Kluyveromyces lactis: one gene and its partners. The main gene of each other region encodes a partner of the protein of the gene in region 2 in a complex. Links are inferred from orthologs where the notes say so. Each region holds a gene or a part of one and is shown on either strand. Other genes may lie near its edges. The genes, in order: RNA15, PCF11 and CLP1.

Evidence for each region.
Region 1: PCF11 (region 2) and RNA15 share a complex: the UniProt entries of both Saccharomyces cerevisiae proteins name them as parts of the CFIA complex. The link is inferred for Kluyveromyces lactis from reciprocal best matches to the Saccharomyces cerevisiae genes PCF11 and RNA15.
Region 3: the proteins of PCF11 (region 2) and CLP1 are in contact, whole or in part, in a crystal structure (PDB 4C0B), measured with the Saccharomyces cerevisiae proteins. The link is inferred for Kluyveromyces lactis from reciprocal best matches to the Saccharomyces cerevisiae genes PCF11 and CLP1. Residues at the interface, in NP_010514.3 of Saccharomyces cerevisiae: Asn460, Thr461, Gly462, Ile463, Ser464, Asn465, Ser466, Asn467, Leu468, Asn469, Ile477, Gln478, Ser479, Arg480, Asn481, Trp482, Tyr483, Leu484, Ser485, Asp486, Trp489, Ala490, Ala491, Phe492, Lys493, Asp494, Asp495, Ile497, Thr498, Thr500; in NP_014893.1 of Saccharomyces cerevisiae: Gln154, Leu156, Phe167, Thr168, Ala175, Pro177, Ser179, Gln191, Ser192, Leu193, Thr194, Ser195, Gly196, Ala197, Thr198, His201, Asn202, Gln204, Pro205, Met206, Val207, Lys208, Val232, Val233, Gln235, Arg236, Leu239, Asp240, Gln242, Arg330.

What each region holds. Positions count from the first base shown.
Region 1 is NC_006042.1:864,313-867,021, reverse strand, and holds RNA15 (Rna15p), read right to left. Parts: upstream 1,313-2,709; coding exon 536-1,312; downstream 1-535. Other genes in the region: transcription elongation factor DST1, read left to right, coding at 1,719-2,597. UniProt on the Saccharomyces cerevisiae protein: RNA-binding component of the cleavage factor IA (CFIA) complex, which is involved in the endonucleolytic cleavage during polyadenylation-dependent pre-mRNA 3'-end formation and cooperates with the cleavage factor NAB4/CFIB and the cleavage and polyadenylation factor (CPF) complex.
Region 2 is NC_006042.1:1,243,828-1,247,417, forward strand, and holds PCF11 (Pcf11p), read right to left. Parts: upstream 2,353-3,590; coding exon 589-2,352; downstream 1-588. Other genes in the region: KLLA0_F13420g (chromatin-silencing protein SIR4), read left to right, coding at 1-318; GGC1 (Ggc1p), read left to right, coding at 2,819-3,590. UniProt on the Saccharomyces cerevisiae protein: Component of the cleavage factor IA (CFIA) complex, which is involved in the endonucleolytic cleavage during polyadenylation-dependent pre-mRNA 3'-end formation and cooperates with cleavage factor NAB4/CFIB and the cleavage and polyadenylation factor (CPF) complex.
Region 3 is NC_006039.1:860,065-863,495, reverse strand, and holds CLP1 (cleavage polyadenylation factor subunit CLP1), read right to left. Parts: upstream 1,872-3,431; coding exon 558-1,871; downstream 1-557. Other genes in the region: APC5 (anaphase promoting complex subunit 5), read right to left, coding at 1-395; TUM1 (thiosulfate sulfurtransferase), read right to left, coding at 2,184-3,083. UniProt on the Saccharomyces cerevisiae protein: Component of the cleavage factor IA (CF IA) complex, which is involved in the endonucleolytic cleavage during polyadenylation-dependent pre-mRNA 3'-end formation. Associates with HRB1/CF IB to form the cleavage factor I (CF I) complex.

The DNA of each region.
Region 1 (2,709 bases), about 380 kb from region 2:
TGGCAGAGAAACGATGTTTGCGGCAGTTGTCATTTTACAGCAGCAGCATCATCATCAGATGGATATCATTGACGATTAACTTGAAAAAATTGTGCTATACTTGACTCGGATTATTGCTTTCCACACATGAGTACTCTTCTTATCCGTTAAAGCCTCCACCTTAGTGTCTTTCAGCTCATTCTGGGTTGAAGTTTTCACAAATGTTAATAGGGTAGACGCTAGTTAATTTCATTTTCTTGGAGCTGATACACGTGACTTTACAGAGTTAATTAATTTGAATAGATACTGCATACGTGGAGTAAGCTTGGTTATTAACCCTTCTCTTCATTATTTCCATAAAATTATACTGCTACTTCTGTCTTACCGTCAAGCGCATTCTGGCTCATTGAAGGTATATTTTAGAGACTGAACTTTACTTCATCCGAAAGTGCGTATTCAATTTGTACATTCTACACCGTTTCATCTATAAGCATTAATGAACTTTATAGTTGACGCATGTTCATTATTTTTGATTTTCCATCCATGAGACGATCTATTAAAGATGACCGAATTCACCTTTCATTGCCCTCTGTTTGAGTTCCCAAACTGCCATCTTTTCGTCTTGCGGAAGCATTGCTATATCTGAATCCTGTAGCTGTAGAACTTGCCTTAGAAGATCCACTTTCTCTTCGTCTAATCCGTCTTCCACTGTGTTATCAGTCTGTTCCTCTGGCCTTTGTTTACTCGCCATAGCCAATTGTGTCAATTGGTCCACACTGCACACACCGTTACTCAACAGGAGTTCCGCAATAGCATAGCTCAATTGAGGTGCCTCTTCTAGGAGTGCTACGAAAGTTTCCTTGTCGTCTTTACAGAAATGTTGGATTACTTTTAGTAGAGCCATCTGTTGGTCCTTTTGTAGCTTCCCCAATTCACTACTGATACACATTGCTGGTGTAGTCATATTGATGTTAACGTCCACCCCTACCGGGAGCCATGGGAACTTCACATCCTCAACCATGTTTCCATTCTCCTCTTCATCTCCGGGGCCAGATCCGCTGCCGTTTATGCCACTACCGGTGGTGTATCCGCACTTTAACGATCTTGAACCCAATGTATACCCGTTCAAGTTTCTAACTGCACTTGCCGAAGTTGCCAAATCTTTGAATTCAATAAAAGCATAACCCTTAGATTTACCCGTCGTTGGGTCAAACATCATCTTCATTGCCGTTACTGGTCCTATCGTCTGACATAGGTCTAATATTTGTTGTTCTGTTTGGTCATACGGTATCGAACCTAAATAAACTGTGCGCGATGGATTTCCCCTGTTCATTGCTTTTTAACTATTTCTATGATTGAAATTGGTTGCACCAGGTTATTTTCACAGCTAGCTGTCTGGTGGAAGTCTGTCTTACAAGTCCTTCGATGCTCTTAGCGGTACTTTATAAGTGTAATAAAACTCAGATATGGCTTTATTGTTCGATTCTTCAACTTTCGTCATCAACTTCAATTCTAATTTTTTTTTCAATGTTCGAATGAAATGAAATTAGAATTGAAAACTAATTAATGACTTCAAACAATCAACACTGTCCATTGTCCAAATGGTGGATTTCAGCAGGTCCTAACTCATTAGAATCTGTTGAGAGCAATATTTGCTGTGTATTATTAACATTCATTCTTCATCTTCGAAAGAAATTGATCCTGGAATATAGATAGAAACTGAGATATCTTCTGCGGATATGGAAACCAAGGACGTTTTAGAAGCCGTCAAAGGATTAGAGAAGAACAAAAATAATAATGATGTTGTGTTCAAGATTCTACAGTCATTAGATAAAGATTTGAAAGATGTTAATGAGAAGCTTCTTAGAGAGACGAAAGTAGGGGTCGTAGTCAACCAATTTAAGAAATCTTCCAATCCAGACATCGTCAAATTGGTGAAGAAGATGATTTTATCCTGGAAAGATGCTGTGGCTCGTGAAAAGAAAAGCAAACTAAGCAGCAATTCCTCATCTACAAGTAACAATAATGGTACAAGCGGTGGAGAAGCAGTAAAGAAGGAGAAATATGTCAGCAAAGCTCCAAGAAATGCTAAGAACGACGGTGTGAAAACGGATATATATGGTGTCAAGATTAGAGATATGGCTATTAGGGCATTATATGATGCATTGGCAAAAGAAAGTGAACATCCTCCAGTAGCTATCCTAGATACAGTAATGAGTATTGAGACAGAAATGGCTAATCTGTTCAATCCCGAGTCTGACGAAAAGGGATATCGTGACAAATACAGAATAATTTACTCAAATATAATCTCCAAGAACAATCCAGATTTGAAACATAGAATTACGAATGGAGAAGTATCAGCCAAACATTTAGTGACTGCTGATCCTAAGGACTTGGCACCGGAACATTTAAAGAAGAAAATTGAGGAAATTGAGAAACAGAATTTGTTTAATGCACAAGGTGCAACTGTAGAAAGATCAGTAACAGATAGATTCCAATGTGGCAAATGTAAACAAAGAAAAGTATCATACTACCAACTACAAACAAGATCTGCGGATGAACCTCTTACTACTTTTTGTACATGTGAGAATTGCGGTAATAGATGGAAGTTCTCGTAGTTGAAATTCTCACTTTGAATTTTACGAAGATAGCCTTGGCATATGATACACTAAAGCAGCATGATGATGGCAGTGATCAAGCACTAAAACTCTTTCGTTATTTCATTGCTAG
Region 2 (3,590 bases):
AAGTTATCAATACGTGATGTAGTGGACCGTCTTCACTGGATTAAGAGATTAGAGTCAACTATTGCAAAGATGGCTAATGAAAAAGCGGACATGACAGCTAAAGTCAAGGATCTTGAAACAGCGTTGAGTCAGTCTAAAGAAAAAGTGGACCGTTACGAAGAATATTCGTCAAAATCCCAGAAAGTCGATAAACCTCGGCCTAACGGGGAGGATCCCGTCGCACTCAAAGAAACCATCGTTCGGTTACTGAAGGAACGCAAGAAACTTACCGCTATTTTGAAGAACCAAGCTGAGTCGAAGGAACGTGATCCGAATTAAAGCGTGTCGAGATAAAGAATTCCCGTAAGAAGAAAAACAAAATCCAAAGCACTTCTATGCAATAGATAGCCGTAATGAAATAGCATATGTTTTCTATAATGCAGTTGTAACATTTAGGAAGTATATATATATATAAATACCATATAGCACTATATTATATTCGTACTTCCATTTAGAACGAAATTTGTAGAAGAAAATGGTACGAAATTCATGCCGATAAGCCAACTAGAGTTCGAATATACAATTGATCAGCACTAGCTATTCATCAACTCATTGAAGCAGCTCGTTAAAAATACCAAGATCTAATTGAAGATTTTGGAATGATGGAGATGAGGAGGTGTTTGACTGTTGACTTTTAGCTGCCTCATAATAACAAGTGGCATGGAAGAATTTGTCTCCCACCTGTACGCAGTTGCTCCAAATCCATTCTCCCAGATCTTCATCATATTTACCATATGTGGATTCGGTACAAATAGGACACTGGAACTTCATATCTGTGGCATAATCCGGTACTACAATATATTTATTCCTGAGTTTAGTATAGATTGCATCAGTAGAATCTTCCCTGTTGTTCGCAAATGTAGGTTGCTGTTCAGCAGCTCCAGTATCAATATCTGTTGCAATGATGTCTTCTTCTTTAAAGTCTGCCCATTGATTTTCATCCAAATACCAATTCCTGGATTGAATGACCTTGGTAGATGTAGTGGTGTTGGACTGGATACCTTTAATCTTCTTGTTGACACGGAAATGCCAATCAAGATGTTGTATTTCCAACTCCTTTTCTTCAAGAGTATTACCAAATCTCTTACCACATATACTACATTTATTAGGTTTTGCCCGATATAAGAAATGTACCAACTTTTCCGTAATTGGATGGTTATCATTAAGAACAAACTGTTGAGAAAGCTGAAGGACAGATGCGTTCAAAATATCTAGGTTTTGCGTCTGGCGTTGCGCCTCTAGATCACCTAGAATATCCTGTAAAAGTGAATATGACGGTAGTTGCACTGTCTTGGAGGAATCAAATTCAGGTTCTAATTTGGCAGCTAAGGTAGTAATAGATGCTTCTCCAGGTTCATGCAAGAGCTCTTTTTCTCTCAACATGTTAACCAAACTAGAAAGCTTATTGAGACGGTTAGAGTTGGTCAGTTGGTTCAAAAATGGAGCATTAAATTGAAGGCTTCCTCCGAACATCGAGCCGTTGTTACCGTTCGCCTGGAGTGAGCCACGAGACATATCATTGTTTACAGAACCTTGAGATGATGGCGGCAGAAACTGAGAGTTATTTTGTAATGGCAACTGCTGCTGCTGCTGTTGTTGTTGTTGCTGTTGATGTTCTTGCGCAAAAATCTGTTTGAGCTGCTGATGAACTTGCGACAAAAACTCCGGTGCCAACCGTTCCTTCTGCAACTCTTGTCTCAACTGCTTCAATATCGCTACTTTTGCCTGCAACTTGGCGTCATCCGGTGTACTTACTAGCTTCGACTGCGTAATCAGCGCTAATTTATCAATATCCGACAGTAACGATTTCACAGTAATATTCGACCCAGCCGGTCCGTTGTGAGCGGTATGTTGTTGTATCGCCGGCGGAGTAGCACTTTTCTGATGCAACGCACTAGCCTTAATCAAAAAATTCTCGATGCTGTTCAAAGAACTATGATCGAACATCAAGTCTCCTGCAGGCAATGGCACCATCCACGTTTTGAACATTGAAATCATCTTGGTTCTAGTCTGATTATCCACAAGTAAATAAGTTTTACGGAACAATTTATGCAAATTCTTAGAGAAATAGATCGTATACGGAGAACCAGCGTTCTTACAGATAGAATCCATTACATAGAAAGTGAAAAGCTTCTGACTAGGAACACATTTCTCCAGTCTATTTTCAATCAAACCCACAAACTCTTGTGCTAAACTCATATGTTCCTCTGCTAACTGCGTCAAGGTAGTAATTATAGGCCGAGAGTTAAACGTAAGACCATCCAAAGTGGTCTTAAACTCCTCTAACGCATTAGAACCATCTTCAGAACTCATAGAGAAATCCCAACAAAACTCGGAAAAAAGTGTACCAAAATATAGCAAACAATTACTATTACCACAAACTAAGCCTCTGGATACTAGTAAGCGCTCAAATAATGAATCATACGGCCTCTATTCCTTGCCTCTGCTCATCGTCTTTAAAGGTTTCCTTATCCTAATCCTGCATCTTGTAACGTTTTGCTCGGTTGAAAGAAAAACCGAAAACATCACCAGATCCGGGTAACGAAACCACACTTTTTTCTTTTAAAAAAAACCTTTCGAGATATCGATCAAAGATTCTTTCAAGAATGAATCATCACTGTTTTTATCTATCTTGCCTTTACGTGCATCTGGCTCCTTTCTTTCTCGTGCGAAACTTTCAACAACGTTTATTAAGAGTAGAAGCAGGAATCTCACTAGGTGAAAAGGGTCTTTCTTTTAATTTCTTATCCATTTGAACTAAGAAGAGCTGGAAAAAAAGATGACTACCAACGATAAGAAACAATCGGGTTTGGCCCGTGTCTTAGGTTCAGCTTCTGCTGGTATCTTGGAAATTGGTGTTTTCCATCCTGTGGACACTATTTCCAAGAGATTGATGTCAAACCATACCAAGATTGCCTCGACCTCTCAATTGAACAGTGTTATTTTCCGTGACTTTGCATCTGAACCATTGGGTAGACGTTTGTTGTCTTTGTTCCCTGGTTTGGGGTACGCTGCTGCCTATAAGATCTTGCAACGTGTTTACAAGTACGGTGGTCAACCATTTGCCAATGAGTTTTTGAACAAGAACTTCAAGGGTGATTTCGATCAAGCTTTTGGTGAAAAGACCGGTAAAGCCTTGAGATCTGCTACTGCCGGTTCTTTGATCGGTATCGGTGAAATTGTGCTATTGCCATTGGATGTCTTGAAGATCAAGAGACAAACTAACCCAGAGTCTTTCAAGGGTAGAGGTTTCCTAAAGATCATCAAGGATGAAGGGTTTGGTTTGTACCGTGGTTGGGGTTGGACCGCTGCCAGAAACGCTCCAGGTTCTTTCGCTTTATTCGGTGGTAACGCCTTCGCCAAGGAATATATCTTGGGTTTGAAGGATTACGGTCAAGCTACTTGGAGTCAGAACTTCGTCTCTTCGATTGTTGGTGCTTCTGCTTCATTAATTGTCAGTGCACCATTGGATGTTATCAAGACCAGAATTCAAAATAGAAACTTTGATAACCCAGAGAGTGGTTTCAAAATTATCAAGAACACTTTGAAGA
Region 3 (3,431 bases), on a different chromosome or scaffold from region 2:
AGAAGTTCGCAAATCACACTTGAACGACATAAAATTCTCCTGAATTTCGAAAGGACTCCTTGTTGATCTGGAGAAACTATTATTGCATCTCTTAAATGATGAATCAATTCTTGAATGTGGTTAAAACTGGAGATAGAAAATATGAGATTGATCAACTTAAAGGAAGCCTTAGTTTGACTATCCTCGTTCTTTCGGAGATATAAAACTAGATTCTCTAATGTTGGAAGCCCAACGCTATCCAGTTCATCATTTGGAACTATTTGTAATATTCGTGTGATGTTATGGAGGGACAAGTTTATTTCCCCTAGGCAATATAATACGAGTAACGCCACACAGCTGAGATCATACGGATCATAGCCAGTTACTACCCTAATTTTTTGGAATTCGACGGTCATAATGAACCTCAGCAGCAATCTTAATGCTTCTATATATTAGTTTCCTTTTCGGTGTATCTTATTCGCATTTGTGTATATCCTATCATTAAATAAAGTATCCGATTTTGTTGACATTTTTCATAAATATGTAAACAATGACTATGAAAGAATTATAAGTAAGAATCATTCCAAGTATCTGTACTCGGTGAGAATCATAGCTCTATCTGGTATTCTACTCGGTACTGGAAGTAATACCCTGAGTTTTTTCTTTGAATCATTCACTTCTGTGATCAAACCGTACCCGATTATCGATGCAGTGTTAAGTTTATCTTGGCTTTCTTTTCTAGATATATTAGTGATAGCGATAATAGCGTGCTGTAAGTTTGAGCTGTTGACTTCAATTTTGTCAAATACTGTTAGATCAACATCCTTTTTATCCTCTCCATATTCAGAGATATTTCTTGGCCTGAAAACTGTTAATTCTTCAAACCCAGCACCCATAGTGTATGGACTTAGGACTGTTTCTGTGGTACCATAAAAGTACTCTCTTATTTGAACCCTCTGTAAAGCTCTTCTCATGATATCATCAATTGCGATAATTGAACCTGGTGGCGGAATTCTTACAATTGATCCTATTTTAGTCCTGAATACTTCACTCAATTCGATAGCTAAGTCATCACTTTCTGCACATACCACTATTGCGTTAATATCGAATTGTTCTATCATGTGGCCAACTTCGGACCAATCTTCGGTGTCAAGATGTGAAAGTTTAGGGGTATCAATTATTACGCCAGACCTTCTTACTATTGGATCGTTCTTTAATCTCTGTTGCACGCCCGATGCTAGTTGTGTAATCGTCGATAAATATAGTGGTCTATTATCTCTGATATTTTCCAAGCCGTAATTTTTAACAAGAGGTTGCTTGTTATGGAGCTTGGTAGCACCTGTAGTAATACTCTGACCCCATATAGAACTTTCAACATCTAGCAACTCAGAAATGGGTGTCGCTGTAATTGAACCTGGCAAAGAAAAAACACCATCTTGTGGGTTCAAGTTCACTAACAACGGTTGATAATGTCTAATCTTCAACGCGTATGAGCATAGCATTTGAGCTAGCGATGATTTTCCAGTTGAGGCGTTACCTACTATTAGTACTCTAGGTCCATTGAAACTAGAGAGTCGTAATCTTTCTAATGCAAAATTTAGATTGTATATGTAGGCATGATATGACTTATTTTCCGAAACTTTTGGCTCAAGCTCTTCTAAACACTTCCATTCGATCATAGATCGTTCAATAGCATAGATGTTCACTATTACACCTTGGAATGTGTAGGGCACATCGTTGGCAAGCTCTGTTCCCAGTATCTCAGCGATCCCATACTTCACAATAACTGTTAGCTTTGATCCTGCTGGAACTTGAACGGTCCATTCATGGCCCTGCGGAAGAGACGATGTCTTAGTGGTCTCAGAAACCTCGCTGAATTCTACAAACTCCATTTCCTTTTTTCTAGCTTCTCCTGCGAGTGGTAATGGTCGGGCTATCAGCTCATCTACCTTTTGTTCTATGTTAATTAAACCTTTTCTAACACTTAAACACTTTAATTTTGATCAATATATCATTACAGATTTTTCCTAGCATACATACTGAAAATATAGTATAAACCAATTGTGGGCAATTATTGATTTGCGCAGGGTTCTTTTCAAGTGTCAGGGATGCAGAGCTACTGTTCTTTCAGGTAGTACTGCATGTTTCACATCTTCCCTACATTCAGTGTATGGGAAATCACTCATTCTATCGAAGTATTTCTCTTAACTTCCTTTAGCCACTTCTCCATCTTTCATCACCCATTCGGTCCAAGACCCGTCGTAGAGTCTGACATTCTTGACACCTGAAATCTCTAATGCAGTCTTGATTATGACACCTGTGACACCAGTACCACACATTGCAATGGTTGGTTTATCGGTTTCAAACTCATTGCCGGTTTGCGAGACGAAGTCTTGTATTTTCTTTAGCATTTCCTCACGATCTGAAGTAAAAGTTTTATCACTGTTCAAGACCTCTAGGAAGGGCAATGGCTGAACGCCAGGAATGTGACCAGAGCTGAGGCCCGGTCTAGGTTCTGGCGCCTCACCAGTAAATCTTTGAAGACTTCTAGCGTCCAAAACCTGGTAGTTCTTAATATCACCTGTCGACACCAATTTCTGCATATCTTCAAAGGAAACTGTTTCTTTCTCTGCCAAATCAACATCGGACACGTATTCACTCATTTCATATGGAGTAAAACTTGTCACTTTAGAAGTCTCAACGGGGTACCCAGACAGTTTCAGGGCAGGGAAATTGTTCAAGAGATATACGGGATCATGTCCCAAAACAGCTAATGTCCATGCACATCTAGGTGCGCTAAAGTTACCAATTCTATCATAAACCACTAAAATATCATCCTTCTTCAGTCCCAATTCACTCATGGATTTATTGAAAGTACTGAGATCTGGTAACATATGAGGATATTCAGATTTCATGTCTTTGACACCATCAATATCAAAATAAACAGCTCCTTTTAGACGTTCTTCATCTAAAAATTCTTGCTTCCCACTTCTGTTCAAGTTTGGTAAATACCAGGTGGAATCTACTGGGATAATACGGCGCTTAGTTTCCTTGGATAATAATTCTGCGAATGCTTTAGGTGTTAATAATTTGTAAAGTGTCATGATGTTTTAAAAACAATTCAATGATCTGGGAAACGCAATTGGGTAGAGCAATAACAATCAAATTTAGCAAGCCAAATAATGCGACTACAACGTGCAAAATTCTGATTTCCTTCTACGTCGTAACTGTGAGTTCCTTCCCCTTTCCTATCCTTACTTTTGCTGTGGTCAAAGATCTAATTTTGACACGATAGTGGAAAGACTACCACGCGAACTGATGTTTACAGTTCACGTGACTCTTAAAATCTACTGATCTAGTTGAAGATATAATTTCAAAAGGAATTTGGAGCGTTGATTTCAGGCGATGAGATGCAATGAGATGGGCTGCTTGGCAAAATATGATGTTAACTG